4 linked regions of the Mytilus edulis genome follow. The protein of the gene in region 1 purifies or fractionates together with the protein of each later gene. This does not show direct contact. Links are inferred from orthologs where the notes say so. Each region holds a gene or a part of one and is shown in the gene's direction. Other genes may lie near its edges. The genes, in order: 116 kDa U5 small nuclear ribonucleoprotein component-like, protein ecdysoneless homolog, neurochondrin-like and ruvB-like 2.

The links.
Region 2: the proteins of 116 kDa U5 small nuclear ribonucleoprotein component-like (region 1) and protein ecdysoneless homolog purify together in Homo sapiens (affinity purification with mass spectrometry; 5 studies listed by BioGRID and IntAct, with this or other methods). This does not show direct contact. The link is inferred for Mytilus edulis from reciprocal best matches to the Homo sapiens genes EFTUD2 and ECD.
Region 3: the proteins of 116 kDa U5 small nuclear ribonucleoprotein component-like (region 1) and neurochondrin-like purify together in Homo sapiens (affinity purification with mass spectrometry; 4 studies listed by BioGRID and IntAct, with this or other methods). This does not show direct contact. The link is inferred for Mytilus edulis from reciprocal best matches to the Homo sapiens genes EFTUD2 and NCDN.
Region 4: the proteins of 116 kDa U5 small nuclear ribonucleoprotein component-like (region 1) and ruvB-like 2 purify together in Homo sapiens (affinity purification with mass spectrometry; 5 studies listed by BioGRID and IntAct, with this or other methods). This does not show direct contact. The link is inferred for Mytilus edulis from reciprocal best matches to the Homo sapiens genes EFTUD2 and RUVBL2.

What each region holds. Positions count from the first base shown.
Region 1 is NC_092345.1:82,432,809-82,441,581, reverse strand, and holds the start of 116 kDa U5 small nuclear ribonucleoprotein component-like, read left to right. Parts: upstream 1-5,398; 5' UTR 5,399-5,545; intron 5,546-8,773. Other genes in the region: nuclease EXOG, mitochondrial-like, read right to left, coding at 272-411, 1,043-1,204, 5,239-5,335. UniProt on the Homo sapiens protein: Required for pre-mRNA splicing as component of the spliceosome, including pre-catalytic, catalytic and post-catalytic spliceosomal complexes. Component of the U5 snRNP and the U4/U6-U5 tri-snRNP complex, a building block of the spliceosome.
Region 2 is NC_092352.1:35,102,440-35,111,130, forward strand, and holds the start of protein ecdysoneless homolog, read left to right. Parts: upstream 1-5,347; 5' UTR 5,348-5,377; coding exon 5,378-5,579; intron 5,580-8,616; coding exon 8,617-8,691. Other genes in the region: ragulator complex protein LAMTOR2-like, read right to left, coding at 653-815, 5,116-5,183. UniProt on the Homo sapiens protein: Regulator of p53/TP53 stability and function. Inhibits MDM2-mediated degradation of p53/TP53 possibly by cooperating in part with TXNIP. May be involved transcriptional regulation. In vitro has intrinsic transactivation activity enhanced by EP300.
Region 3 is NC_092348.1:64,191,031-64,198,914, reverse strand, and holds the start of neurochondrin-like, read left to right. Parts: upstream 1-4,278; 5' UTR 4,279-4,391; intron 4,392-7,467; 5' UTR 7,468-7,482; coding exon 7,483-7,575; intron 7,576-7,884. UniProt on the Homo sapiens protein: Probably involved in signal transduction in the nervous system, via increasing cell surface localization of GRM5/mGluR5 and positively regulating its signaling. Required for the spatial learning process.
Region 4 is NC_092350.1:44,666,132-44,674,103, forward strand, and holds the start of ruvB-like 2, read left to right. Parts: upstream 1-4,744; 5' UTR 4,745-4,830; coding exon 4,831-4,839; intron 4,840-6,688; coding exon 6,689-6,743; intron 6,744-7,905; coding exon 7,906-7,972. UniProt on the Homo sapiens protein: Possesses single-stranded DNA-stimulated ATPase and ATP-dependent DNA helicase (5' to 3') activity; hexamerization is thought to be critical for ATP hydrolysis and adjacent subunits in the ring-like structure contribute to the ATPase activity.

The sequences.
Region 1 (8,773 bases):
ACCTCAGCCATTTGCCTCAGTAAATATCAGCTTTTCAAAAGTCAATAAAACCCTATCTTTTCCTCATCAAAAGACAGTAATTGTATAATATTCATAAAAACTTGGATTGATTCTATACATACCTGTACTCAATATATATGGTAACTACACCCTAAAAACTATTTGTTACAATATTCATACTATGGAGAGTGCCCTTATTGAAATGTGTTTACTAAATTCCTAATAAATAAAAGATTATATATACAGCATGATTTAATCTATTACCACTGACCTGACTGTGTTTATTATCCCCAGCTGGGGCCATATGACCCCTAGACCATCCACTTCCTAGGTAATCAGAGTTCTCAGCACTGAACTCAGTTTGAACATTTGGATCAGATTTAAATTTGATTTTTCTTCTGTCTGCCGGTCCTGAAATCATAGAGCACTTAACTTATTTCTAATACTGTTAAGTGACATTTAAAAGATGTATCTTTATATGTGTTGTTTTTTTATGTTTCATTGAGTTGTTGTCTCATTGAAGAACATCCCACAATCACTTAAATGATTTCTGAGTTTCATTTAGTTTTGAGATAGAGGATTTATTATGAAATGACTGTAAGACCTTGAATGTTTAAACTGCAATGAAAACCAAACCAAACAAACAAATGAAAAACAAAACCACTATAAAATCTCTCTTCATTATGCATGTTATGAATTCAAATGGTATCATAACCTTACTCTGTATAGTAGTAAAAGATTAACTACTGGTGTCATTTTTAAATAAATAAAATCAATAAGTGCAGATCATCTTTTAAATAAAAAAAATACTATTTATTCAAGACTGACAAAATTATAAAATTTCTCAAAAATTGCAGGGGAATAGAAATTCTTAAAAACTGCAATTATTCAAAAAAAATAATTATGGAACAATAGGAGGAAAAAGTGTGTGTATACATTATGACCAGAAAATGATCTCTTAATACAAATTCAATTTGATTATTCATGTCACCAAGGTTACAGACATTTTGAATTATAAGGCTCACATAATGTTAATTATTACCATCAATATTTCTCTTGGTGATATACTCAGCAACCCAAACAGGTGTTTTCTTTGCCTGATCATATGATAAGATGTGATTATCATAAACCCTTATATCTGGCCCACGATCTGGTATGCCATACTTGAGAATAGTCTCACTTGCCCTGGTCTTTGATGATAAACCTACAATTAAAAAAAAGGGTTGCTGGCCAAATTGATCATCTTGTCTGTTCAGTTCATATAAAATGCAATAGATTTTAATTTTTCATTTCAAGAAGCAGTTATACTTTTTTTCATAAGGGGAAATAACTCAGATAATTTCCTCTTGATTTATTATTTTAATTCTATTTCTGAAAATGTACAATATAAATTACATTTTTGGTCAAGTACAAAAAAATTACTACCATAGATATATTTTTTATCAATGATTTCATACTACCCAATTTAGATTAACTTTCTACATATTAGAAATCTATTAAATAGTGATGTAATAAATGGGTTCTCTAACACTGCTTTACTGAAAATCTCATATAAGATTTTAATGTTCTCAGATGTTACAGTGAATATAAAAAGAAGTAAAACTAGTTGACTGAGAGTAATCAACAGGGATGTAAACGAAAAAGGGGACTGTAGAGCCTTCATATAGTAAAGTTATAAAATGTCTATGCATGACAAAATGTTGTACAATTCAAAAGAGAAAACCAATTGAAAATATTATTTTTTATAATAAATAACAAACAAAAAACAAACAAATAAAAAGACAGACAAACCAACAACAACCAATGAACTAGTACAGGCTCTGCACTCAGGACAAGTTTGTGAGCACTAAACTTTCTCAAAAGCTTGGGATAATGGTTTAACAGCAAAACATATAAACTATCAAAATTAGTTGTGTAAAAGATTTGACTCATCAGATCTGTAAGTTTTCTTCAAAAGAGTGGTATAGCTATAGGTGTAGACTGATGATTCCATATAAATCTGATGGACATACATTTGTAAGTTCAAGAAAACACTCATCAAATTTGTTGTCATTTTGTTTTCTTGGTGGATAGTTGTACCTATCTCATTAACAATAATACCACATCTTCTTCTTTTCTCACTGAAACATTACTATCAGTAAGGCTTAAATATAGACAATTATATTTGCACAAACTTATTTACATATTATTTACAAACCAGGTGCTCCGCAGGGCGCAGCTTTATACGACCGCAGAGGTCGAACCCTGAACAGTTGGGGCAAGTATGGACAAAACATTCTAGCGTGATACAGCTCTGAATTTGGATTGTGATCAAATTTTTGACATTACATGGGGTTTTTTTACACAAAACAAATGTCAAGATTTTACAAATTTTACAATTAAAGATTTCTTCTTCAAACTTTTTAAATCTAAAATTAAATAGTTGGAACAGCATTGGTTTCTGACACAGAATGAATGTGGTCTAATGAACTTAAAAGTTTGTTTTTGCCTTTTAGCAATTCACTATGCTGTTGAATATTAATCCTCTCAAAAAAATGTTTGAAGAAATTTTCTTTTTATTTATGAAATCTGAAATGAGAAAAATTTAACCCCCCCCCCTTTTTCACATCCCCGTTTCCTTTTTTCCAAAACTGATATCAATTCAAATTTCTAATGGAGTTTGCAACAATAACTACTCTTTTAAATACATCATAAAATATTAAAATGTAAAATAAAGTGCTTATTATCACTGAATGGTAAAGATTGGTTGGTAGTAAAAGTGAATATACATTGTTTATTGTATAAAACAATAAAAAAAACTTCATCAGCAACATTTTATATTGGCAAATTTCCAATGAAGTTATTTACATAAAGTAATGGGCAAATAAAAATAGAAAATGACATCATAGTCATGTCTGGCAAATGTCCAACATACATAATCTAAAAACATTTTAGATAAGATAAGGAAATAAGATGTAAAAAAACTGCTTGTTATCACTGAATGGTAAAGATTATTTTAATTCATCAGTTGGTAGTAAAAAGTGAATATACATTGTATATTGTATATAACAAAGATTTAAGTTGATTCTGGACAAAGAAAGATAACTCCAATTAAAAAAAAATCTTGCTATTGCACAATATTTTGCAATTAGATATTTCTTGCTTACTATTCTGGACAAAGAAAGATAACTCTAATTAAAAAAAAATTTGCTATTTCACAATATTGTGCAATTAGATATTTCTTGCCATTGCGCAATACTGTGCAATTGAAAAGACTTGCTATTGCACAATACTTAATATAATAATTTTAGATCCTGATTTGGACCAACTTGAAAACTGGGCCCATAATAAAAAATCTAAGTACATTTTTGGATTCAGCATATCAAAGAACCCCAAGATTTCAATTTTTGTTAAAATCAGACTAAGTTTAATTTTGGACCCTTTGGACTTTAGTGTAGACCAATTTGAAAACAGTACCAAAAATGAAGAATCTACATACACAGTTAGATTTGGTATATCAAAGAACCCCATTTATTCAATTTTTGATGAATCAAACAAAGTTTAATTTTGGACCCCGATTTGGACCAACTTGAAAACTGGGCCAATAATCAAGAATCTAAGTACATTTTTAGATTCAGCATATCAAAGAACCTAACTGATTGATTTTTTGTCAAAATCAAACTAAGTTTAATTTTGGACCCTTTGGACCTTAATGTAGACCAATTTGAAAACAGACCAAAAGTTAAGAATCTACATACACAGTCATGACAGTTAGATTCGGCATATCAAAGAACCCCAATTATTCAATTTTGATGAAATCAAACAAAGTTTAATTTTGGACCCTTTGGGCCCCTTATTCTGTTGGGACCAAAACTCCCAAAATCAAACCCAACCTTCCTTTTATGGTCATAAACCTTGTGTTTAAATTTCATAGATTTCTATTTACTTATACTAACGTTATGGTGCGAAAACCAAGAAAAATGCTTATTTGGGTCCCTTTTTGGCCCCTAATTCCTAAACTGTTGGGACCTAAACTCCCAAAATCAAGACCAACCTTCCTTTTGTAGTCATTAACATTGTGTTTAAATTTCATTGATTTCTATTTACTTAAACTAATGTTATTGTGCGAAAACCAAGAATAATGCTTATTTGGGCCCTTTTTTGGCCCCTAATTCCTAAACTGTTGAGACCAAAACTCCCAAAATCAATCCCAACCGTTCTTTTGTGGTCATAAACCTTGTGTCAAAATTTCATAGATTTCTATTAACTTAAACTAAAGTTATAGTGCGAAAACCAAGAAAATGCTTATTTGGGCCCTTTTTGGCCCCTAATTCCTAAAATGTTGGGACCAAAACTCCCAAAATCAATACCAACCTTCCTTTTGTGGTCATAAACCTTGTGTTAAAATTTCATAGATTTCCATTCACTTTTACTAAAGTTAGAGTGCGAAAACTAAAAGTATTCGGACGCCGGACGCCGGACGACGACGACGACGACGACGACGACGACGACGACGCCGACGACGACGACGACGACGACGACGCCGACGCCAACGTGATAGCAATATACGACGAAAATTTTTTCAAAATTTGCGGTCGTATAAAAAGCTGAGAATTGAAGATTTATATGGTAGTGACAATAGCTTTCATATAAAAAAAAAACAACCTTTAATAACTTTGTATGCCAGTATTATCATGATTATTATTAGATATAGGAGGGTGGTAATGGGGGTTCTTTAATGACAAATAATGGTAAAATTGTTGCCAAATAACGTTAATGGTAATTTTTTGTGCATGATGTTAATTAACTGTATACTTTCTTTTAGATGATAAAAAAATCGACTGATATTGATGAATCACATTATACTATTCACAAAAAAGACAGTGACGATAATTATTTGGGACCTCTGATGAATAAAGATTGAGGAAGATAAGGATATTTTGACGAATCACTGTAAAGATTGAGGAAGATAAAGATATTTTGATGAATCACTGTAAAATTTTTACCAATTTAATTTTAACGCTCACAGCAACCAAGGATTTGTATAGTAAGACTATACAAATCCTTGCAGCAACTGAAAATGACCATTTGATGCCTAACGATAAAGGGAATTACTACCCTCATGTATAGAAGACAGTATAACTGTAAGTGTAGACTCATGTGTTCAACAAAAATTTTATAGAAACTTTTACCCTAATATTTTTATACCACTGCAAAAAACTCAAATAATTCTTTATCTTTGTTTTTTAAATTCATTACTTTCTTGGTTATCATTTTCAAATAAAATTCGATAAGAGCCAATTGCTGCAAGTGTTGTGAATGTGCCTGTGATTATTCCTTTCATAAATTGTGACATTTCCGTATTCAAAGCTGATTGCTTCGTCCGTAATTGATAAAGAATTTAGAAAAAAACACTCTCGGACAGTTTCGTTTTAATACAAGCTGAAGTCTAGAGAAATCCGAAGGCCAAACGTTATTTGTACACTTCCGGTGTCGGCGTCCCACATGTATTTTTGAAATATTGTTTTATCTATTGATTCCAGTACTTTTATCTTACACTGATCAGGTATACCATTACGCAACTCAATTATTTAACAGAGTGCCGGTTAATGTGCCTTTCTGTGACCACCGTAATCAGATTGGGTCCCTACTTTTGCTTTGTTATCATTTGTACTAAAAAAAATCACTACTGTTGTGAAAAAAATTATTCATATTAAGCACAAATTTTAACATAGTGAATACAAAATAAATGTAACATGTCCTCTGTGCCACTGGAAGGATGAACATCTTGCGCACGATTTAACCTTCTGTCCAACATTAAGAGAAATCTGTATGCAATATTTCTTTCCACTCAAAGATCTTGTTACAGTATCATACAGTCATAGGTATTATTTTCCCTCACTCACTCTGAGTTACCTGTCAAAGTAGTTGAGGAACCGTAGCTGTCATGTCCTAATGATACTTTCGTTACTCTTTTCGAACCCTAAGATTGGAAGCTTATTACTATTAGACAGAAAGTATAATATTGAACCAACTGGATTCAAAAACCTTATTCCTAAGGCAGCTTTAAAAAAGTCTATGAACTTAACCAGTTACAGTGTTCTCCCCAGGCCGTTTTAGCGTCGCGGTACCGTGACGCTATATTTTTGCACCGTGATGCTATAATAATTCCCGCGACGCTATAATTATTTTGAAGATGCTATTTTATTTGTCCTCAATTTTGAACTTTCATCTATTATCGATTATTATCATAAAAATTACATCACCTTTAATTGTAATCCCTTTAAATCGGACACTAAAGGCAATTAAGGGATTAAATAGCCAGGTGTTAATTGCCCTCAGGGTGATAAATGTTTGGATGCCAATATCCCAAGCTGACACTCGTGACATGACTTATACCACGTGTCTGCCATCACCAACTTCGACATGGAAAAATGCAATCACAAAAACAATTCGAAATCTATGTTTTGTATTACAAAATTTCAAAGATTAAAACGAATTTTTTTTAAAAGGTCGTTTATATTTGCAACTCTCCAAAATATACTTTCTTTCTCTTCCTGTAATACAAGAGCGAGAATTTTGGTTTTGAGCTAAAATAAGTTTTATACTTCTTTAAAAAGTTATCATAATTGGCTTTAGTTTATGTTTAATGCATTTAATGCATTAAAAGCGTCTTATTCATTCACAATCTCTTGTCAAACAATGTTTATTCTCGGACTCATTTTCGTAAATTTTTCTACGGCCGCCATAGCACATTTTTGTGTATACTACAGATCGGAACCGGACCAGATATGAAAAAATCCGCATTTTCACAATAATGACAACAGACGGACAGTAGACAGAAAAAATATACCAATAGAGAAAACTACGCATTAATAGACTATTTGTTAGATAACTTTGTTAAAAATACATATCATTTTGATGTAAAGATAAGAAACAACAGGGACTAATTCATTGAGTGCCATGGAACAATGAATTTCATAAACATGATAAAAAAAGGTTTTTAAATTGATATTTTTTTTTACTACTTTTGCTACTTTATCTTTACTTAATATAATATAAAAAAATAGTTCATTTTGTGTAATAGATATTTAGTTTTGTATATATACAGGTTGCACTATAATGAACTATTCATTCATTTGACTTATGTGTTGGGTAACTGAAAGCACATATTTATTTTTATTTGGCACAAGAGGAAAAAAATAATTCTGTAACTATAAATGAATAAAGAAAACATAAACTGAAACAACTGTTTTTGTTGTTATAGTTTAATTGAATTCTTAGTTATGAATTGAACAATATAAACTAAAACATATAAAGGAAATAGAGCATCAACGCGACGCGACAAATGACATTACAGTGTTCTAGGATTCCCATTACCCGTTACCCGGGGTAAGTGGATTAGGACAACGGGTAAGTCATTTTTTAGCCTTTGTCACCCGGTGGTAAGTCAATTTTCAAGTTCGGGGAAGCCGAAAAACTCTTGAAATTTCCAGGTCCTCTTCAATTTTCCCATATCTGCTTTTTATTTTTATTAAATCACGAGAAAAAACTTTGATAAAAGATCGAAGATTTTGTCGATGTCTATCGGCGCTTTTATTCAAGCACTCGTTTACTAGGTGTAATCAAGCGCAAAAGAGACCACATTCTTCTCCTATCATTCTAAAAGTCGGTCACGGTGTCGGTAAAATCGGAAAATCCGGATTGATAACTGGTGCTTAAATCGGGACATAAACGATTTTTTTTTCTTGTCATCGGAGGAAAATAAACTTACAGTTGCATTTATTATAGCTCTTAATAAATGACATAGTAATAACTATAACATATTTGTCAAATTTAGTAAGAAATCGTTTTTTTTAAATTTTGTATAAAATTCAATCGTATCCGAATCCAGCTTTGTTCAGACAAACTTCACAACATATAATTTAAAGCATGTCATAAAAGTTTTTTGAGCGGCCCCCAGACCCCCGGCCATAAGGGCGACGAGCTTTAGCTCGCCGCAGCGGACGGCGCTGTCTGCATTGGTTGGCGGATTTAACTTTTAGATGTGGGTAAGTAATTTTTTTATTGATCTTACCCGTGGTAAGTCAAGGTGCCAAAAAAATCCTAGAACACTGCATTAAAAAAAAATACAGTTATTTTTTTTTACGCAAAATGTGATGCTATCCAAAATTTCTGGGGAGAACACTGAGTTAGACGCCGTTATAACTCCAGGTCTACAACACCCTTCCCTCTTTTCTTTTTTTGGCTGCACATCATCCATTTGACCTCACAGGTCCGTTACTGTACAACTCAGCAGTCACTCTGAAACCCTCTGATCAGTTCCCTGCATGTCAGTCAGACATGTATCAGTCATCCAATGACCTGTCAAACATAATAACCATATCAAACTGCCAGACACTTACATACAGTTGTGCACACTAGTAGATGCTCGCAATGCCAATATTGTGAAAATCTATGGATGGTACCAACAGTATGTCAGGGATTTCAAAGAATTGCTCTAACCTATTGAGCTTAAGGAGATCTTTCCTAACTAATCCAGTTAGATGCCCACATATCTCCAGGTCTACATGGTCTTCAACAGTATACAGTGCTCCTATTTTATAAGAACTTCTTTTTAACTACACAAAAATGCATCTTAGAATCATTTATCATAATATGAGGCAGGCATAATCATTACCTGTGAAAGGGGACTGTCTGTCTGTATGAATTAAATTTTTTTTTAATTCAAACATATTTTAATTTCAAAACAGAAATACTGTAACGTTTCTGATTTTGGTTCTGTTGTTAGGGA
Region 2 (8,691 bases), on another chromosome or scaffold:
TCAAAAAGTTGGGGGGGGGGATTTTTTGTTTACCATTTTTTGAAGGGCTTTCTTTTTTTTCAAAGAAGTTTCAAGAAGAAATCTTCAATTGCACAGTATTGTGCAATAGATTTGTTAGATCTTTGACCACATTAATTTTGTGACAAAAACCTATATTATGTCAAAAATTTGATCACAATCCAAATTCAGACGGAATCAAGCTTGAATATTGTGACCAAATTTGCCCCAACTATTCAGGGTTCAACCACTGGGGTCGTATAAAGCTGCGCCCTGCAGAGCACCTGGTTGATAATATATAGTTTCATTTACATCCAAACAAAATGTATTAATGGAGGGCATTCCATAACTGGTAAGCAACCAAATGTTTTTGACACAGGAAATTATTTTGGAATAGCAAATTGTACCTGCATGTACATATTGATTTTCATTGAAATCCTGTTACAAACATAGTTCCTAAAATTTGGTATTGTTATCCAAAATTAAAATTAACTACCAATTTTGACATAAAAGGGATCACAAGGATGTTACAAGATTTAGATTTTCCTATGAATTTACAAAAATAAGACAGGAACCCCTTTTATCCATCCCAGGACCCTTAAAAGTAAATGCTGGTATTGAGTTCTTATCATTGAATGCTTTTTCCTTTTCTTACCTCACATTCCAACAGAACTAATTTTAATTTATCATCATTAAAAGCTGCAGACCCACTCTTCTGATAGGCTGTCCAAATGTTACCAGCTATAGCAGCTGAAACAGCAGCATCTTTGTCACCATAACCAGAATAGGCTAATAAGGCTCCTTCATTGTTCAACAACCTAAAAATAGATCAATTAAAAAAAATCTCTTGTTAAAAAAAAATGAATATAATTACAAGTATCAGCATCAAAATAAAAGTGCATATGCATGTAATATGCAGTCCTTTTACCGGGTAATATCAAAATAAATAGCTATCAAGACATGGACTTTCTATTTAGCCTTAATGTTCTAATTGGGTGAGAGCAACACCTATATCATGTATATATACATACATACTAATCCTGTTCCAGTTTTGACATTTTTATTGACCCTTTTTATAAAACAATACATGATATACATGTAGGAGCATATGGTTTCCTTCAACTTTGTATCTGATTACACCTTAAAACACTTTTTAGAAAATTTGTACTGGTATATACGGTATTATGACCCCTGCGTCAATTTACCATATTAAGGTATTTAGACCTCAAGTTCACTTTACAGAAGGTTCAAAATACCATGTGACACCAGGTCAATTGATCCTGTAAAGTGAGTCAAATTACCAAGATTTAAAAAAATTATAAATCTAATTCATTATATATATATGATAACCCAACTTTGAGATTCCTTGTAGTATAGTTTTTATTGTTATATCACTCTGGTTTCATGGTGAATATAATAATATTGTAACTGATTTAAGAGGTGATCAACAACCATGATATTGACATCAATAACAAAAGATTTGACAGCTTTCATTCACCTTGCACTAATCTTTTAACTTTTATTCACCCTTTACCCCCCTCTTTAGGCTCTTATAAACAAACAAATAATTTTAATTTTATACATTGCATGTTAGTCCGAGATTACTCTGACGTCCAACGGCTGTTTTGCCAGACAAGCTGGGGCCGTGGGACTTGTCTTGCAAAACAGCTGTTGGACATCTGAGTAATCTCGGACTAATAATTTGCATGTATGATCTAGCCTGCTTGCATGTTCTTTTTTTAACCTGTTTAAATGGTTTTTTTCTTCTTCTTTTGTTACAGAAAACCATCCATGTACTGATGTTTACTTTCCAGTGCATGCCTGGTATATGTTTTTTAATAAATTTATGTGAATAATTTTTGTGAAAATATAAATTAACAAAATATTTCTTGTTCAAAGTTGTTTTTGGTCATATATTTTTGTATTTTCAATTTTTACAATTTTTTCTTTGTTTTTAATTTATACAATTTTTTATTTAGTTTTTAAATATTACATTTTTTATTTTTATTTTTTGGTATAAGATAAAAACAAGAGTATCTGTTTATTTCAGATGAGGGTAAGTATCAAGGAGCACGTGTGAGTGCATCCTTAAAGTTTTCTGTAGTAGTGTTTTTGGTAATTTCAGAGGATAGTTTGTGGACAGTCTTTGATGGTTTGACAGAAAAAAGAAAATTTATAGCTGTCTTAATTGCAATGAATTTGTCTGTAGGATTCTTTATTGGTGGATCTTGTAGTAGACTGACTCTGTTGTAATACATTTTGCGATGGAATGGCTATATTTTCATTTACAATTTTGTGGAACATTATAAGCCTTGTTCGTAGTTGGCGTTCTTGTAAGGTTTGCCATTTCATGGTGTCTAGCATCTCAGACACACTGCTGGTGTTGTGATGTCTATTGCACACGTACCTTGCTGCCCATCTTTGTACTTTTTCCAGTGATTTTATATTTTCGTTTGTAAATGTGTCCCATACAGTACAACAGTATTCCAACTTTGGTCTTATGAGTGTTTGGTACGCTCTTTCTTAAATTGTTTGCGATTGGACTTTAAGGTTTCTTCTGATGAAACCTAAGGATTTATTTGCTTTTGCAGCGGTTTGTTGGATGTGGGTGTTCCATTTTAGGTCTGCTGAGATGGTGATACCTAAGTATTTTACATGTTTTACAGATTCTAAGATGTGTCCATACATGTTATAATAAAAGTGGATGGGATTTCTTTTTGTTGTTATATTCATGATGTTACAATTGTCTGGATGGAAAGACATAAGCCAATCTTTTTCCGGATCTCCTGTAGTTGGTGATCGCAATACTGGTATAAAAATTTTGTACCAGTATTGTATTCCAGTATCGGTGCATTACGTTTGCGCGCATTACCATTACATTTGCGCGTAAAAATCATTACGTTTGCGCGCAGCTTTTCATTACAATTGCGCGCATTTATTTGACAGGTAAACTCAGGTAAGCTTAGGCAATAACTCTTATTTATCTATGAATTTATTCAATTATTTTAAGTAAAAGTACCCTTTCCTTTTGACTAAGTCACCTATACTCACCCACGAGGAGGTAGAAGTTGGATACAAGCAGGATAAGTCGGTTGCATTATATTCTATCAATCCGGAAATTTTAATACTCATAGCATACTAATGATTTTCTCCCCCGATTTGCTATTAAAAAAAATTTCAAATGTCCGTTACTTGACAAAACTTTACAATCTAGCTTTCAATAGATTATTTACGAATTTTAAAGAGATCACTATTCGGGGTACTTGATCACCCTGAAAAAATTCGCAATGAAGTTACATGTATGCCTTAAGTTATAACAGAATTTATCATGCACACTTTATATTTTGTCTTAGAATACAATATGAACAATATAAATTATGATTAAAACATCTTTTCAAAGTTAATGAAATTTTATATTATTCATATTTCATCATATACCGTTTTTTACCTGGGTTTACCTGTAAGATAAATGCGCGCAAATGTAATCAAAAGCTGCGCGCAAACGTAAAACATTTTAATCCCCAAATGCGCGCAAACGTAGTGCGCCCTCCAGTATTGTACCAGTATTGTGCTTTTTTTTAAATAAACAATATAGGTAATTAATCTTTTATTAAAGGTGTCACATATATGCATAATGAAATTAACATATGACATGACAATTTTATTAGGAATGATTGTGTTTAGCTGATGATGCCATAGATGGTACACTGTGATTGTCATCAAATAAAGTTTTAAATCTTCTGATGTTTTTTTCTTAACCATTCTGTATCAGCATTTTAACAAACTCTATACTTTCTTCTATGTTTTCTTTCAGCTCTCTCTTTCCAAGATTCATGTAGTATATTTTAGTGAATTTTATATTGACATTAATGCTGTTATAGCTTCTGTATCATCAGCATTGGTATTGTCTATTTCTTCTTCAGATGTGATTTCTGCAACCCCTCCCCCTTCCTATATTGGTATTTAGGTATTCTGTCTCTGTGGACTTTCTCTAACGCTTACTAGATTACAAGCTATTTCAGATAGCATTTGAACAGCTCTCTTACTGTCAGAATGCTGGTCTAGTATTAGTATTTGTACCAGTAGATATACATGTATCTGCTACTAATTGTATTGTCCATGGTTCTGAATCAACTGCTTCAACCCTTAACATTCATGTAGACAAACTAGTTAATTTGATTATAACAAGGTTCCCCTATAAAGCAATTTTTTATAATTAATGAATAATATTGATATCTTTTGTTGTGAAAGATTAATAAGAAAATAAAGACAAACAAATGCATATGATCTTAGTACACAAAAAATGTATACATGTATTAAAATATCTGTCAAAATGTGTGATGGCATACATGTAAATGCTGAATTTACAGTGTTAGAGTCTAATAATTTGCTTGAATTTATTAAATTATTACTCAGATAATAAAAAGCTTTTATTTTATTTTATCTTTATTGAATTAAATAAAATATAGAAATATGATAAAATTATTAGCAATTGTTTAAATAATAATGATGTTATGAGTTAATTTCAATAATCCTTTGTTTATTTGTGCAAGTATAGTAATGACTTTTAACTGGTTGTTAATTGATTTCACAATTATCCTTTATAATCTTTTTGAGTTCATTTAATCTCCCGTTGATCTTCAATATAGTCTAGTCAACAATACAACTACAATACTGGTATATCAGTAATGTACCAGTATTGCTGGTTTTTTTTTATAAAAAGTTACAATACTGGTACAAATTTTTTAGTATTGTGGACAATACTGGTATACCAGTATTGCGATCACCAACTACAGGAGATCCGTAGATTATACTGTCATCTGCAAAGAGTCTGATTTTGCTATGTTGGATGTAATCTGGGAGGTCATTTATGTAAATTAAGAATAGTATTGGTCTTAGCACTGTACCCTGTGGGACTCCTGATGAGACTGGTATTTTTGAAGATGACATGTTTTCTAAAAGTACTGTTTGCGTTCTGTTTGAAAGAAAGGATTCTACCCAGTTAATGATTTGATCTGATAATGATATGCCAAAGTATTTCATTTTGTTTTCATTTATTTTTAGCATACTTTGTATATCATTAAATTCATAAACTTTGATATTAGTTAATATTCTTACAGTGTGCTTTGTACACCACCAGTATTTGCCTGACTCAAAACTTGAGTTAATGCTTTTGGCTTCAACATCTTTCACAAAATAATAGATCACATGATTCGGATCCAAAGCACTTTGTAACATTCTAAATGATTGGCCAATTTATTGAGGTTACGACCTGTGCTGAACTTCCGCAAATTTTGACTGGTACCCTTTGTAGAAATGTGTACAATTGAAAATAAGCTATCGTAGTTAATTATTACAAACCAGTCATCATTGAATTAGCATGGCAGAAAAGAAAGATCGTCTACCCGACGATGCTTCTGAATATTGGCTTTTCCCCTTGGTTGACACATCATTATGTCAAGAGACAAAGCGAAAAATTTTACTTGAATATATTGACACTTATCTTGCGTTTGTTAGTTCAACAATTGTCGACCACATTTGGCAAAAGGAGCAGTTTAATTTGACTGCTGTGACTGAAAAAGGTTACTTTGTTTACTTTTAGATTGCATTTCTGCCTGACTTTGAATCACCAAAAATAAATTGTAACCCTTCTATAAAATTTGCCCAAGATGTGAGGCATTTTCATTATTTTTCAGTCAAGTACTAAGACACAGGAATATCTGAGCTATATTGTCCTGAATGTGCATTAACAGTTAAACATGTGTAATTATATTTGCCACTGGCGATGCAACTCTTTGTAGAAATGTGTACAATTGAAAATAAGCTATCGTTATCGTAGTTAATTATTACAAACCAGTCATTTAATAAGCATGGTAGAAAAGAAAGATTGACTACCCGACAATGCTTCTGAATATTGGCTTTTCCCCTTTGTTGACACATCCTTGGATCCTTGGCTTATGTCAAGAGACAAAGTGAAAATTTTACTTGAATATATTGACACTTATCCTGCTTTTGTTAGTTCAACAATTGTCGACCACATTTGGCAAAAAGAGCAGTTTAATTTGACTGCTGTGACTGAAAAAGGTTACTTTGTTTACTTTTAGATTGCATTTCTGCCTGACTTTGAATCGCCAATAATAAATTGTAACCCTTCTTTATACGACCGCAAAAATTTTAATTTTTTGGTCGTATATTGCTATCACGTTGGCGTCGTCGTCGTCGTCGTCGTCGTCGTCGTCGTCGTCGTCGTCGTCGTCGTCGTCGTCGTCGTCCGAATACTTTTAGTTTTCGCACTCTAACTTTAGTAAAAGTGAATAGAAATCAATGAAATTTTAACACAAGGTTTATGACCACAAAAGGAAGGTTGGGATTGATTTTGGGAGTTTTGGTCCCAACATTTTAGGAATTAGGGGCCAAAAAGGGCCCAAATAAGCATTTTCTTGGTTTTCGCACTATAACTTTAGTTTAAGTGAATAGAAATCTATGAAATTTTGACACAAGTTTTATGACCACAAAAGGAAGGTTGTGATTGATTTTGGGAGTTTTGGTTCCAACAGTTTAGGAATTAAGGGCCAAAATAGGGCCCAAATAAGCATTATTCTTGGTTTTCGCACAATAACTTTAGTATAAGTAAATAGAAATCAATGAAATTTTAACACAAGGTTTATGACCATAAAAGGAAGGTTGGGTTTGATTTTGGGAGTTTTGGTCCTAACAGTTTAGGAATAAGGGGCCCAAAGGGTCCAAAATTGAACTTTGTGTGATTTCATCAAAAATTGAATAATTGGGGTTCTTTGATATGCCGAATCTAACTATGTATGTAGATTCTTAATTTTTGGTCCCGTTTTCAAATTGGTCTACATTAAGGTCCAAAGGGTCCAAAATTAAACTTAGTTTGATTTTAACAAAAATTGAATCCTTGGGGTTCTTTGATATGCTGAATTTAAAAATGTACTTAGATTTTTAATTATTGGCCTAGTTTTCAAGTTGGTCCAAATGGGGGTCCAAAATTAAACTTTGTTTGATTTCATCAAAAATTGAATAAATGGGTTCTTTGATATGCCAAATCTAACTGTGTATGTAGATTCTTAATTTTTGGTCCAGTTTTCAAATTGGTCTACATTAAGGTCCAAAGGGTCCAAAATTAAACTAAGTTTGATTTTAACAAAAATTAAATTCTTGGGCTTATTTGATATGCTTTATCTAAATATGTACTTTGATTTTTGATTATGGGCCCAGTTTTCAAGTTGGTCCAAATCAGGATTCCATATCAAGTATTGTGCAATAGCAAGAAATTTTCAATTGCACAGTATTGCACAATAGCAAGAAATATCTAATTGCACAATATTGTGCAATAGCAATTAATTTTCAATTGGAGTTATCTTTCTTTGTATAGAATAGTAGTTGATAATATATGTTGGAAATTTGCCAGACATGACTATGATGTCATTTTCTATTTTTATTTGCCAATAACTTTATGTAAATAACTTCATTGGAAATTTGCCAATATAAAATGTTGCTGATGAAGCTTTTTTTCCTTATCTTATCTAAAATGTTTTTAGATAATGTATGTTGGACATTTGTCAGACATGACTATGATGTCATTTTCTATTTTAATTTGCCAATAACTTTATGTAAATAACTTCATTGGAAATTTGCCAATATAAAATGTTGCTGATGAAGTTTTTTTTATTGTTTTATACAATAAACAATGTATATTCACTTTTACTACCAACCAATCTTTACCATTCAGTGATAACAAGCACTTTATTTTACATTTTAATATTTTATGATGTATTTAAAAGAGTAGTTATTATTGCAAACTCCATTAGAAATTTGAATTGATATCAGTTTTGGAAAAAGGGAAACGGGGATGTGAAAAAAAGGGGGGGGGGGGTTAAATTTTTCTCATTTCAGATTTCATAAATAAAAAGAAAATTTCTTCAAACATTTTTTTGAGAGGATTAATATTCAACAGCATAGTGAATTGCTAAAAGGCAAAAAAAAACTTTTAAGTTCATTAGACCACATTCATTCTGTGTCAGAAACCTATGCTGTGTCAACCATTTAATTTTAGATTTAAAAAGTTTGAAGAAGAAATCTTTAATTGATTTGTAAAATCTTGACATTTGTTTTGTGTAAAAAAAACTCATGTAATGTCAAAAATTTGATCACAATCCAAATTCAGAGCTGTATCACGCTTGAATGTTTTGTCCATACTTGCCCCAACTGTTCAGGGTTCGACCTCTGCGGTCGTATAAAGCTGCGCCCTGCGGAGCACCTGGTTAAAATTTGCTCAAGATCAGATGTGAAGCATTGTCATTATTGTTCAGTCTTGTACTAAGACACAGGCATGTCTGAGTTATATTGTCCTGAACATGCATTAAACATGTGTAATATTTGCCACTGGACACCAAGGACTACATGTATAGTAAATAACTCTTTTGTTGTTTAGCTAGCTAAGACAACAAAAAGATCCCCAAAATGGTTGAAGAAAGAAAGAAAGGAATTTGCTAAAATTAAAAAGCTTGAGTTGATATTTTTGTTACAAGACAATGAAGTTTAAATTTATAATCATATTTAAACAGGAGATGTGTAACATCTTATCATTATTTCTAGATAATTTACCACCTCACCTGTATGGAAAAACCTGTTATGGTGATAACGTTGAGGATGAATGGCTTATTGTTTACC
Region 3 (7,884 bases), on another chromosome or scaffold:
ATTAACACAAAAACGTTTTCAGCAGTTCTTATGAAACTTTGCTGAATTGTTTATAGCTATTGCTGTAAGCGCTCTTTCTATTTTCATTAATTTTAGATTTTATGTTATTGAGTGAAGGGGTTTTATTTATTAAAAAGGGTGGTATTTTCCAGTTTTCGGTCAAAAATGTTTTCAGCAGTTCGCATGAAACTTTGGTGTATAGTTTATATATATTGACTGAAGCTCCCTTTCAATTTTTATAAATATCTGATATGACATATAGAAGTTATCGAATATTTCAAAAAGGGCGACGGGCGTATCATGCGCTCATGGCGTAGCTGTTTATTTGTCATAGAATACTTTTTTTCAGCATTTATTTTTATACAGTTATAGAAACTCACACATGCTTGTAATTTAAATAGTGTGTAATAAAATTGAGAATGGAAATGAGGAATATGTCAAAGAGACAAAAATGATATCTAGTAAAAATTCAAGGGCTGTTATGGTATTCAATTCACATAGTTCTTGTGTTTGTTGATACTAAAAATGACCTAAAAGAGTTTGAATATATATATTCGCATTCTGACTTTTTCTAAATGCCCATTTAATGAGGTGTGTGAATTTTTCTTCATAAGACTATGAGGCAAAGTGTTCAGTATATAGGGTTGAAAAATCAAAAGCACCAATTATAAGCATGCAATTTATCAAGTACATCGAACCAATTTTAACACTCCAAAAGTAATTTATTCCATTATTTTCAAAGGCTCAATTTGAACAATTTTTTATCAGGCTATTGATTGGACTAAGTGTACTAGTAAGTAGAATACATAGTTTAGTAGGGGAGCAATGGCTTGAAGACGAAATAAATCTTTGTTTGTAATGAGCTATGTGCTGCTTCGGGACCCAGTACATGGTTGGAACTTTCATCGTACAATGTAAAATTGAGAATGGAAATGGGGAATGTGTCAAAGAGACAACAACCCGACCAAATAAAAAACAACAGCAGAGGGTCACCAACAGGTCTTCAATGTAGCGAGAAATTCCCGCACCCGGAGGCGTCCTTCAGCTGGCCCCTAAACAAATATATACTAGTCCAGTGATAATGAACGCCATACTAATTTCCAAATTGTACACAAGAAACTAAACTTAAAATAATACAAGACTAACAAAGGCCAGAGGCTCCTGACTTGGGACAGGCGCAAAAATGCGGCGGGGTTAAACATGTTTGTGAGATCTCAACCCTCCCCCTATACCTCTAACCAATGTAGTAAAGTAAACGCATAACAATACGCACATTAAAATTCAGTTCAAGAGAAATCCGAGTCTGATGTCAGAAGATGTAACCAAAGAAAATAAACAAAATGACAATAATACATAAATAACAACAGACTACTAGCAGTTAACTGACATGCCAGCTCCAGACTTCAATTAAACTGACTGAAAGATTATGATTTCATAATATGAACATCAGGCACAATCCTTCCCGTTAGGGGTTTAGTAGCATACCATCATAACATATGTGAGAAGAACATAACCCGTGTCATGCCAACAACTGTTTTTTAAAAATAATGTGTGTTTCGTTCTGCTTTGAAAAAAATCAAAGCTGAGTCAATGTACCATATTATATAAAAGGTTAACTGGTTGTAAGGACCTAGTCCTTAATTGAGATTCTTGTCAGATATTCCTGGCCATATATGTTTTCCTTTTTGTCATATTAAAAATTGTTCTGATTTAATATGTTGGTACGGGAAACAAGGAAATTTATCCTCATACCAAAAAATAAGATAATACTAAATACATGTTCCAACAAAAATGGAATTTATTACAAAGGATAATCATAAGATATACTGTAATTGTCCTTGACCTCACTTCTGTAATGGGTATATGTTAATGGAATCCTTCTCCGAATACGTGACCAACATATTACTAGTGGTAGACCCCAATGTCCAATGATCTTCAATTTCTACGGAAATTGGCTCTCAAAAAAATGTTAACATTCCAATTTTCAATAACAGTTAACAGCAAATACATTATCACAATAACAGATAACAAAAAAACTAAAAGCCCAATAACAGCTAACAATGAATAAGACAATAACAGCTAACAGCAAATATATTTTCAAATTAACAGATAACAAAGAATAAAATTGCCCCATAACAGCATAACAGTTAAACCCCTTGCCCCCCCCCCCTCATACAAATAGAAATACATCTAACAAAAATACATTACTGTAGTGGTGGCTGGGTACTTGTACATCCCAATAACACAATGACACTAAGTAAAGATCTGAGAGTAAGTCGTAGTTACTGACAGCTAGTTCGAAGCCAATAACAACAAACGTGAAAATCATGTATCTCGGACTTAAATGTCGATCAGAACACATACAAAAATCAATTGATTAGTGTAAGGCGTCATTAACAGTCAAAGGAACACACGACCGTGTGCAATGCCAAACTTTAAATTTCGACAGATTGAAGTACCGTGAAGGTGCATATATTATATATATATGTGTAACATTCAGTATGGTTTTGATTTATTGATAACCAATAAAAACGATATTCAAAGATTTAATTTCAGTGTTGCATATGTTTCCATTTTGAATAAGTTTTTCTAAAGGATTAAAACGTTTACCCGGATCTTATCTAAATTTCTGGGCTTGGTTTACGATATCACCGTAAAATTTTGGATATGCTATTCTGTTTGAAATAAGTTTTTTACAGGTTCAGCCAAACTTGAAGACCAAATATTTGTACCTATGAAAAATTTAGTAAAGGTTTAAAGTAATTTGTGGTAACGAAATCTCGGACTTAATAATTTACTTGTAATACATAGATTACGCTCATTGTAATCCAAAACGTCACTACAGACACGAACATAGCGAACGAGTTGGGATATATAAACACAGTAAGATTGGCCAAAGAAACATTGCCGTCCAAAGATGGAAAATGAACAACAGGGAAAGCGGAAAATCATCCCTTTTGTCGTGAATTTTGTAGTATAGTATCTGGTGTAATATTGAAAGTCTTAATCTAGGAAAGGCCAGGTATTGCTGTTGATATTGAATTTATCTAAACTAGGTTCCTTTTGGTAAATTTCAGTCGTATAGTGTGAGAATCATTGATTATTCTTGATTATTTAACGAAATATATCATCAAAATAACGGTAAGAATTGATGAAATATTTACTGAGCTTATCCATATACTGTGCTTTATAACATTAAAGGAACAAGCCTGTTATTAAAGGGGCACACTTGGTGCCCATAGGAATACCTACAATCTGTGACAGTTCACTAAGTTTTTTTTATCTTAAGGAAACTCAAGGTACGTTTGGAGTTAGTAGTGTTGTCATCACAGACACTTAACATATTTTAAATGAAAGAGTTAAAGTATAAGCAAGTCAGTTTTTCTGTATCCTGGTTCCCGGTACTACGTTCCAGGTATTAGCTTTTAGCATACTCTCTCACGATATTGAAATTACGGGTAGATAAATTAGGTTTGAGGAATTTTTACCAAAAAGAATTTTTTGTCACTTTTCATAATAATTTGTTGATTTGCTAACATTTTGTTTTTAACCTCAATGCTTATTTGATGACAAGAAAGAGTTCAAAATGCATTCATTATTTAATATGTGCAATCAATCATTGAAAAATTCTTGAATTTGTGACTATTAATGAGATAATTTAATTATTGTTTTCATTTGACAGCCTACTATAGCTGTTATTATATATACTGTAAATTCAGAAATTATTGCGATGTTTTTATTATTGCGAAAAATGCGACAGGGTTATAATCCCAAAAATTTCTATTCGCATTTTGATTTTTTGTATGAGAATCAAACAGGACTTTTCTCAATGATGCAAAAATAAAAATTGCGTAATAGTCTAAAATGACAAAATCGCAATAATAAATGCATGAAATAATTTCTGAATTCACAGTATCCTAAAATTGAATCTGTTGTGTCCATTTTGTTTTCAATATATTGGTATATGTGTAACACACTTAATATTGCGATCGGAAACCAGTCTAGTTTTTCTGTAGATTGGCGACTCAATAAAATCATTTTTTTTATCTTCTTAAACTTTTTCAGTCTATTTCCTATTCAACTCTCTTTTTTTTTGCTTTATGATAATAATGAATTTATGATTTGGTAACTAATTACACAAAAATAACTAGTATATAACAAGGACGTATAACTAATTTACGTCCTTGTATATAATAAAACTCTGGGGGCAGAGAACAATAAGTATTCAGCCCTCTCAGACTAAACAAAATGTTCGGATATATATCTGAATCGTACCGTCCTCGTTTCGAAATTTATCATACCGCATGCAACTTCCGTTTTAAATTCGAACAGAAGACGACTTTTAAAAATTATATTTTTTAGAGCAGTAAGTTTATTACATTTCTCTGCAGGTAAAATACATTATCAGGTTGATGCATTTTTTCGTGAATTTTTACAGTCTATAGCATGTGTAAAATATTTAATTTATCGTGACCCTTAAGCTTCATAAAATAGATCAACTCCCAGAAAAGCACATATTTTTTTGCAACATATCAAGTTATAAGCTTACATTTTGATCTCAAATCACAAATCCCAATTATTTTTACCGTTGTTGAAACTGAATTTCTTGCATAAAACAAATTGGCTGTTAAAAATTACAACTGTTACATACATGTAATGTGAAACAATGAAGAGCCCATTATTTTTTTAATGCATGTTCTAGCAAAACGCATTAATGTTTTCTCTGACTCTGTTCAGAGCTTGGGCCCCTTAAGGTGGTATGGGAGTCTAAAATAAAAATGATAGAATTTGTTCATACTTTGCCAAAACGTTGTATCTATTGATACATGTTGAAAAATATAATAAAAATGATAGGTCACCGTGCATTTTCTCAAGCTACAGGACGGGACAAAATGACACATTTTGTATGGATTATACAGGAAAAAACACCATTATATGATTAGAAACTAAACAAAATGATAGAATTGTTAAAAACTTCAGGAAAAGATAGCTTTCAGACACTGCTTTGAGAATATCAAAAGAAAAGATAGGGTCACCGTACGTTTTTTCCGGCTAAAATACAAAATAGGAAAATTCCATACAGAATCCTTCAGAAAATGCACTTTTTTAGAGTTACCTCCCCTTAAAATGCCAATTTAAAAAAAAAAATAAAAACAACCAAAAATAATTAACATTTGCAAAAATATCAATATTTAGAAGTTATATTCTTATAAATTGGTACTTTTAAATGAAAATATACATTAAACATCTGCATTCCTGCATCAAATTTTGCTAACTTGATGGAAAATCTGGACCTTTGATTCTCTATTTTTTACAATCCAAGATGGAGGAAGACACCCATACCACCTTAAATACCCAGAGAATATAATTTAAGTCCTGAATATATGCCGATTTTTTTTATTTCTACCCACTTTCACTTTGGTAATGATTACTACTTTCACTTTCAACAGTAAATTTTTCACAATGTTCTTGAGTGGCCTCGCGTCTGATTGGTCAAAGAAGTTCAACTGCTGCATCACTAGCAAGTAAACGCTGGAGTTGTGAGGTCTACCCCTGTATGTCTCAAGGGTTTTAGATGTTAACCATAATTCTAAGTTTCCCTTCAAAGGACAGTTTTTTTTTTCACTCCAACTTCTTTTTCTTCTTCCAGGTAAGGAACGGCATTCAATGCTGAATGTTAATGGTTCTGCGCGAAAACTTTACGCAGTGTCAGGCAACACAGAAAGATTTCTCTTGGCTATTTACAAATTACATTTAAAACATTCACAAAAAATATACAATTAAAATTATTTATAACTGGTTTTTCCTACTTCCTTTCAGAGCATGCCTTCAGGGCAGCTCTGAATCCTTCAACGGTGTTGGTCGCTGTAACTGTTGTTGGTAGGTTGTTCCAGTCCCTGATTGTCCTCGGGAAGATTGGCCGTAGGTGTCTGTACTTGTTCTTTCTTGGAAGAAGTGGTTTTTACCTCTGGTCCGGTTATCATTCGGGGTCAAATATTGGTGACGGTCTATATCTATAAGATCATGCTGGATCTTGAATAGCATGCATAATCTGTTTGTTTTCCTCCGTTCTTCGAGGCTTTCCCACGTCTTTAGATTTTTGACCATATTTGTGACACAGCCAGGTGTTTGGTCTGTGTAGTTGTTATTCACAAATCGTGCAGCTCTTTTCTGTACCTGTTCAACTGCCTTTATTTTATTTTGGGCGGTTGGGTCCCATACTGTGCTTGCATATTCCACTGCAGGTCTTACCATGAATACATATGCAGCTGCCTTTAAAGGTTTTGTACAGCCTTTGAGGTTTCTATGTATAAATCCCAACGTTCTGTTTCCTTTGCCTACTGTATTATCTACATGTATGTGTTTATCCCATGTTAGGTTGTTGCTGATGGTTACTCAAAGATATTTACTTGCTTCCTCTGTGTCTAGAGTATGACCCTGTAGATGGTACGATGTTTGTATCACTGGTCGATTTTTTGGTGATATTCTAATGACAAGGCATTTTTTGGCATTAAAACTCATCTGCAACTTTCTCCACAAATGAAAATATTAAACTGGTGTTTAGGCCAAAAAAAATATATGTGTGGTTCCAGTTACTCGACCGACCCTAGAACTTTTTTTTTCATATCTGAAAAATAAATTTTCAAACGATTAAATCTTAAGGATTGTAAATTCAAATAATTAAAATCATAGATTACTGTCATCTGGATTTCAATCAGAAGTATCTGTTATGGTTAAAATAAACAATTCATAACAGAATGCAACTAAATCAAATCAACTAAAAACATAACATGACTGTTTATTTTACAACCAAACAATGTAAAAATGGTGAACTTCCGGTAGGGGCGTGTATAATACCAGAATCAATTTCGGTAAACACACGATTTTTCCAGATTTTGACAATCAAAAATAAAAATCTAAATAAAATTTTTAAAAAATTGCCTACCTACCGACCCTACTTTTTAAAAGTAGGTAACTGGAACCACACATATATTTTTATTTGGCCTTATTAACAAATAGTACAAAACTTCAGATGAGATTTTTGTATGTCCTGAACATTTTCAGTTTCTTGATGGAGCACACTCGGCACAAAATCTGTGTAAGTAAAAGTAAAGTTAAACCTCAGTCCTGGGTGAAAATTAATGACACATTGTAAAATGTGTGAAAAAAACTTGATTTATTCTATGAAAATAAAATGCAACTGCCTCTTCTGGTCTAGAAGCACTAGACATTTCTTTAGATAATTGACAAGGGTATGAAGAGACGAATTTTTTAAGTCAAGACAACTATCTTTATGCTGTAAATTTGACAGACATTCAGACAACATTGCTTCAGTCACAATTAAGTACAATGGCACACCAAATGTCTCTATAGTTGGCATTCTTGTGGCCCCTACCGAGTCTGAAAAACAGTATTGTATGGAGGTGGATACAAATTATAAACTACTTATCACATCTTTTTTTACAGGATACTATTCATAGCATGGGAACATCTGAAGATAAAAACATAAGAAAAACATTTACTGTACTTGAAAATTCTAAGACAGATAATGAAAAATTTGCAGCCTTGCTTCTGGTAAGTTTTTTCATACATGTTATATACTTTTATCTCACAGTGCTTTATGTATTAAATTTATAAGCTACTCAGGTGCATTTGTACATGTATTGCCATTACTTTATATTAATCTTTTATCATTCATCTTTGGGCGTTCAAAATGTATACTGTTAACCAACTTATTTCGTGACTTTTGCTAGTAGAAAAATAACATAAATACAAATCGTCACAAATATTTGAAACCTCGATCTTTCCCTATCTGATTACATCAAATGAATTAGAAAATCTCAAAATTAAATAGCCGAGAAGTGGACATGAATTAAATCAAGT
Region 4 (7,972 bases), on another chromosome or scaffold:
AAAAAGTATGAAAATACTTGTGTATAAATTGTAATAAGTAAACATTGATAGAGGTGTACTTCAATTTTATTACAGTCTTTCAGAGAGATTTTATTTCATATTTGCTTATAGTTTGGTGCTGTTTTTGAAATAGAATGTTCATAATTTTATTTATCTGAATGAATTAAAGGTTAAATCTGAGTGATTGACAGGAGCGAATGTTGTCTAAAGCTTGATACTGAACTAGAAAAAATATTGTATTATATGCTTTCGTACCTTTTTGTGAATATTAAATCCTAAGCTCCTAATTTGATAATACCACACTGTGGAGAGGTTAAAAAACCCTATATATGTCTACAAGAGAGAGACCAGATTTATTAAATAAAGGCAGAATTTTGTAATCTCCTTTAATTGTTTCAATGTTTCATCAAATTTCCTTGCTTAATCACTTCTAAAAATCTAAAAATTAAACAATTGATTAAATAATTTTTTTTAGAAGTTATGAGTTATCTCCCATTTTGACATTCAAAAGTCCAAATATATAGAAATCAGATTGATATAGAATTTATACAAATAAATATTTTTGCAAATTTGAAATTGAATTGTTAGTGAGTCATTTCATTATTAGTCCAAACAGTTTATTTATTTTGCAATTGTCAAGTTTGACTATAAATGTACTATATATAAATTTTGTATGCATTAGATTTTGCACTAAAAGTGAAACAAATTTATTTTATTAGATGTAAAATGAGTGTTGTATACATTCTAAACAGTTTGATGCCTCATTTGCTAGATTGTATATGTTCATTATGCTAAAACTTTAATGTCTTGGTGTAATGTTTTATGGTTAAATGTGCTGTTCACATTTAAAATTGAGCCATTTAGATATGTCAATTTAATACTGTTGGCTGTTTGTATATAGACTTTGCCTAAATTGATATAGATCTTTGTTCTTTGATCAGCACTGGGTTTTTTTTTTACTTTACATATCAGAAGTCATAATTTGCTTGAAATTTTGGCTTGAAACTACAAGCAAATTTTTCTGTTTTTAAAATTGATAAAAAATTCACTTGATTTAGGCTCAGTGTGTGCTTTCTACCTGAAATCTCAGGAAAGATACCTACCAGGTCAATCATTCATCATTATATAAACTTGTAATTTGGCTTGATTCAAAACACTTGGCTATTTCATGTTGAATACTGTAAAAGTTTTGTTTTTTTTGTGTTGTATTTGATCTTTGTTGTTTTGTGGCTACAAATACATTAACCATTGTACCTATATAATATATATCATTAAAAATAAATTAGTGTTGTAATGTTTAAAAACCATGAAATAATAAACCTGTGAACATGCTGAGAGAATTCAAAACCAAAAAAATTACCATGTTTTAAAGTTTTTTGATTTGAATCTTGGGTATATGAGTATTTGGAGTATGAGGTTTTTAAACAAAAAAATTTATGTCTGTTAATTGATATGCCTATGTATGGATGATTCAAAGTTGTAAATGAATGATTCAAATTTATAATTGAATTCATGATTCAAGTTTGTAAATAAATGATTCAAATTCGTAAATGAATGATTCAAATTTAAAAAATGAAATTCTTGATATATTTTATATTTATAATTTATTATTTTGTTATTTATATTTATTATTATATTATTTTGTATGTACACAATAATGGATACATCATGCAGTGCTTTTGATTCATTTTAGCACATTAAAGAAATTCTGCAAAACTTTGTTTTTTTATATGAAAAAGGAATTTCTTTGCCTTTTTAGCATTTTAAGTTTAATTTGAGGAAATTACTTATTATAAGTATTTGGTAAACAGGAAGTTGATGAGTGAGGGATGTAAAGAGCATTACACATAAAAGGTTGATTCCATATTTCTGAAAGCCTTGACTGTCACAAAAAATGTATTCATGTTCATAATATGTCTAAATACATTTGTACAAGTATTTGGTAAACAGGAAGTTGATGAGTGAGGGATGTAAAGAGCATTACACATAAAAGGTTGATTCCATATTTCTGAAAGCCTTGACTGTCACAAAAAATGTATTCATGTTCATAATATGTCTAAATACAAGTAATCAGTAAATTGTGGTATATGAGTGATGAATCTGAAAGTGCATCACACAGTCAAGCATGCCGATGTGGAGCTTGATATCAAATTTCAGAAGCTCAAAATTTAAGTTCCTGAGAAAAATTTGATCAAAATGTTATTAAACTATGGACATATGTTAACCAGTACACCCATTTCTTTTGTAGCAGGTGTAAAATATAAATTATATAGTCACCCTAAAAAGAGTACAAGTATGAATAGATGAATATATTTTAATAAATCAGTTATTGTTTTTGAAAAACCTATCCTTTCTCAATTTTAACAAAAACAAAAACAAAGCAAGAATTTCTGAATTTACATTATATCAGAAACATTTGTGGAAAACATACATCAATGAGACAGCAACCCAACAGTGTATGTTAATCAATATTTTAAATTGATGCCAAAAGTCCTTCATACAGTCATCATTCTCTACATGAAAGAAAACCATAACAAAAACTTGATAACACCGCTACATTGACAACTACACTTAAGTAAACTGCATATTTTAATGACAATAAATGTTGTTATCAATGTAGCAGTATTTTATTTTTTGCTCACCTGGCCAAAAGGGCCAAGTGGGCTTTTCACTTGGCATCCGTCATCGTCTGTCATTAACTTTTTTCACAAATCTTCTCTGAAACTACAGGACCAAAGGAGTAGGGGCAAAAATTACTGCAAATTTTAAAAATTTCATACATATTCTTAAATAACTTAAAACTTTACTAAGGTTCAAGTTATCCAGAAAAACAAAACAAGTTTGACATTGAATGAGTTACCATGGCAACAAATTATGACATAATTTGCAAATTTTGTAAAATTTTCATGGTTTTCCTTGTTTTTCATCAAATTTTAAGTATATGTTAGATTTAAAAAGTATGTGCACACCCAAGAAACAACTTTATATTTGGGGAGATTATATCAACAGTTATAATAATGCTTCTGTTAAATTATTTTGTTGTTTCTTGGCTGAGCACGCTGTTTCCACAACAGAAATAATGATAGAAAACTGCATAAATTCTGGATTTTTCACCATTATTGTGGAAACAGTACATATTTTGACGTAATTGTGATGTCATCAGTTAAAAATCTTTGTTTTTCATTTATATTTTTTTATCCTATGCATTTCTAAACATTATGTGCCAATTTGAAAAAGATATCAAACATTTTATTTTCTTGGGCTAAAACCAGGCATTAATGCCCCTACTCCTTTAAGTAAAACTTGGCCACAATAATCATTGGGGTATCTATTTTAAAAAGAGTTCTGATGACCCAGCCAACTAACCAAGATGGCCACCATGGCTAAAAATAGAACATAGGGGTAAAATGTAGATTTTGGCTTATATCTCTGAAACCAAAGCATTTAGATCAAATCTGAAATGGGGTTTATCAGGTCAACATTTGTCTACCCTCAAATTTTCAGACAAATCTGAAACTTAACGGTTGCATTATTTCATGCATCAATTGTAAATAAAAATATCAGGTGAACGACATGATATCATATGATATCCATTTAAAGGAACTATAAACACAAAACATAGGAGGCATTAGTTCAGCAGCTCTTTATTTCTTTATTTATTAAAAAGTAAAGAATAACAGAGTATTCAGGTCATAGCCATGATGCAGAATAAAGATTCAGAAGCTAAGTATTAATTACTCCTTAAAATTAATGTTGGACATTATAAAAAAAAACCTCAGTAAAGTTTTGAATTTATCATTTTAATTGTGTATCTATTATGTCTGATCAGAGATGAGAGGTTATGTCATACCTGTAGGAATTGGTAAAAACTGATGACCAAACATACATATCTGTTAACTAAAGATTTGTTAATGAATTTAGCTCCTAATCATAACCAAATTGCACTAGTTCTGTCTTTTGCAGGATTTTGAGATTTCATCACAATACAAACCAAAAGCCTTCCTATTCCAAAAATTTCCCAGTTCATTGAGGCATAAATATATATATATTAAAATCACTTGAAAGGTCAACAACAACAATTCAAGATAACAGGAAAATATTAAGAAAAAAAATAGGAAGTGTAAGAAATGCATGTCATTTCTTGTATATTTGTATTAATTTTGCCCCACTGATAAACATGAAAAAAATAATTCAGATTTAAAGAAAACTAAAAAATACTGATATATTAAAAAGAAAGGGGGGGGTGCTTAAAAAAATGTTCTATTCCCAAGTACCTTAGCAAAAACTTAAAACAGTGGGCTGACCTTTTCAGTCATTAGATCTGTTTTTAACACTTATTTGGCTGAACAATTACTGAGAATATAGTTTCTATTTTATTTATCATATTTTTTCTCAGTTTTTTTTAAAGTTAGCAAAAATTGCAACAATATAAGACAGAATTAAGCCTAGTCAATTTCTTGAAATGGTAATAAACTTTACTTTGCATCCTAAAAACCTTGTCATGAATTTGAACAACAACATGCAGGAACCTTTTTTTTTTCTTCAAGTCAATAAAATTTATTAATTTTAATTTTCAAAACAATTTTTAATTTTAAAAGAGAATCAATCATATTATATTTCAAACCACATGCACATGTTTCTGTAAAAATCGCTTAATACCTTTTTATAACAGATATAAAGTTAACAATAATTAGAGACATGTGCCTGTGGGAAACCATAGAGATTGTGACACTGTTTTGTGTTTCACGTTTTTACATGTCCGTTTCCAGAATATTCTTGTCGACTCAGAAGATTATTGTACTTAGATAGAGGGCGCTACAAACACCGGCAATGGCAGTCGTAAGTCGCATTTTCTTCTTTTTCGTGATAAATCAACTCCTTTAGACTGTAATCAAAACATGATTATTCAAAGAAAGCATTATGAAACTTCAAAGCTAGACTCCTAGACATATATTGACCTCTAAAGTTTATTTGGGTTCCCAATCTGTGAGGTGACGGCCCCCACGTGTTTGTTGTCAACAAAAACAAAAAGCGAAAAGTGAAAGAAAACAAATATAATTTGCACAAGTAGTTACCTGTTACTTGATGAGAGGCAATTTCGAAGATAACTTAAAACAAATGTCTTATAGGATATCTGTCATCCAAAATTGCGAACTAAATTTCAGATGAACTTTCCAACAAAATATAAAAAAATAAAAATTTTCAGAAATTTAAAAATGCATCAATTCCATTAGCTGCGGAACCGTAGCTCTTAGGTCCTTATACTATTTTTTGACTATTTGCAGACCATAGAGCTTATGATTATAAACAATACATTTTTGGGAAATAAGTGCGACCTGAACCTGGGTCGCAATTCCGAACATTTTGAAATAGGAAAAATCCGTAGCTCTATGGTCCACAAATAGTCAAAAAATAGCATAAGGACCGCAGCTGCAATTCCATCATTAGTAAAACTGTCTAATATTAATTATAGTACAAAAACAGTTCTGACGGTACACCTACACAAATAGTGTTAATGATTTAGTCTGAATATGTACCAGCATGAACAATACTCATAATCATGATAATCGCTATACATGTATATAGGTATCAAGTCCATTTGTCCTGATTACATGTTCGCCTTGAATTTGTTCTGCATGTTTTGATTAAAAAAATGTTATTTCACGGTTATTAAAGTTTAATAGGTTTACTCAGATAATTATTTGGTATAAATACTCAAAATTCATGAAAATACATGGAAAGATTTTAAAGTCAGTCTGCACCAAAAACTTTTTCAACTACTAGTCCGAAGACCAATATTCTGACATTTTTCTTATTGGACCAAACAAAGTTTTGCAAAAACTTACTAGTCCGAACCAAATTTTACTAGTCTGGGGCATCGGACTAGTGGCTAACCGTGCAGACTGTTAAAGTTACTGGCTTGTTTTAGAGCAATTTATTGTTTATGGTAATATTAATTCTCATTGATTGTTGTAATAATTACAATACTCATAAAAGTCTTTAATGGAAAAATAATAAAACAACATTTTGTTTTGATAAACTACAGTCAGCATGGAATGATTAAAAAAAACCAATCGTTTACGAATTGTAAAACATGAATAGGATTCATAAGTTCATTGATTTATTACGACTGATGACTAGACTAATTAGAATTGCAAAAATAGTTATGAATAAAATAAATCTGACATACTCTGTTCAAATAATGAACATTTTTTAATTACATGAATTAAACAACAATCCCCAAAAAATAAAAAAAATTAGGGCGAATGGACGCTGGGCGAACAGACCCAGATTCACACTATTCCTCATGATAGACCAGTTCTGGGATATGGTAGTTAGTTGAATCTGTCATATGACTTCCATCACCAAGTGATTAAGATGTAGGCATCATAATTTCAAACAAACGAAAAAGACACAGTACCTCTAAATTGAATAAATTCAAAATATAAAAAATGCTTTGTAAAAAAAATCTTAATTAGTTCCAACTTATTTTTAATAAACTTTAAACTTCTACTGATTCTGTAATCTGCATAGGGATAGATTGATAGATATTCAATTTAATAATAATAAATTGCCTCAAAAACCTTAAACATGTTAAAGAATCTCTTTTTTACTTTATTCTGAAAATTTGAATAACACAAGGCAAGATAAGAAGATATATGTGCATAATATGTTTTGTTTGTTACAGCCATCAGCAGAAACCGTTAAAGAAGTGAGAGAGGTGACAAGGATTGAAAGAATAGGTAAACTTTGTTAACACTTTCCTCTATGGAGATTTTAATTTTACATATAGATCATGCAGCAGTCAGCTTAATTTAGTTTTAACCCTTTCAACGCTATACACGGCATATGCCGCGATGACATACATCGTCCGCCACTGCTATTCGCAGCATATGCCGCGATGACAACGGATTTTTCATAAGGACTCTTAAACCATTCGGTTTTCATTCGGGTCCTCTCTAATTTTTCCTTGTATGAATCGAGGATATGCAAGGTCTCATTGATCTTGAAATCCCGGCAATTTTTATTGTAAAATCATGCAGTAGAAGGAAAATTGAAAGAAAATAAAAACAAATATTTTGACAAATGCAAATGGCAGAAATCGGAAACGAAGCTGTAAATATGGAAATATTTCAGCATTTCTATGGCGAAACTGATGACGAGGATTAGTTAAAAGGTTTCTTGTTATCTCAATGTGTTTATTACATTCAATTCATGTGGGAAATATGATTTGATCGATCATTACGAGACGTAGAAAAAGGGGGGAAAACGGAGGTTGACTGAAAATTTTGAGGACAGAGCCACTGATTTGTGCCATGATTACATAATACGTTGTGTATGGTGCAATACGCTACGGAATTGAGCAATTGGTGTCTTCTTTATTATATGGCAGATAAAAAAAAAATAGATGAAGACAAAAAGTAGTTTTTATTCAAAATTCAACACAAATGTAACAAATTACACCTTTTACCTGTTAATTACCTGAAAATGCAGGTAACCTGATAAAAATTTTACTGAAATAACTGCCTAGCATTACAGTTCATACTCTCCTGAGCATTTTTCATGCAATAACTTTTTCTGTATCTCTTACAATAAAAAAGATACAGCAGTCTGAAAAGGAATATACTGTTCTAATGAATGAACACAAAAAAAAATGCAGCAGCAGCAGCCATTTTTCTATTTTTTTGTGTAGCGTTGAAAGGGTTAAAAAGAATTAAAAGAATTTATATTGTTCAATTTTTCATTGAATAAATTATTTTTTTAACAAAATCAGAAAACATACCATAATAGTACTCATCAGCAGGACCATCCAGGTTTTGGTACTTGGTTATATAGGCCAACTTAGAATATTTGCATATGAAACACTTTTAAAACATGTAGACCTTTAAATTAAATAATTTCTAGGAGCACATTCACACATCAGAGGACTTGGTTTAGATGATGCACTTGAAGCCAGAAATGTTTCCCAGGG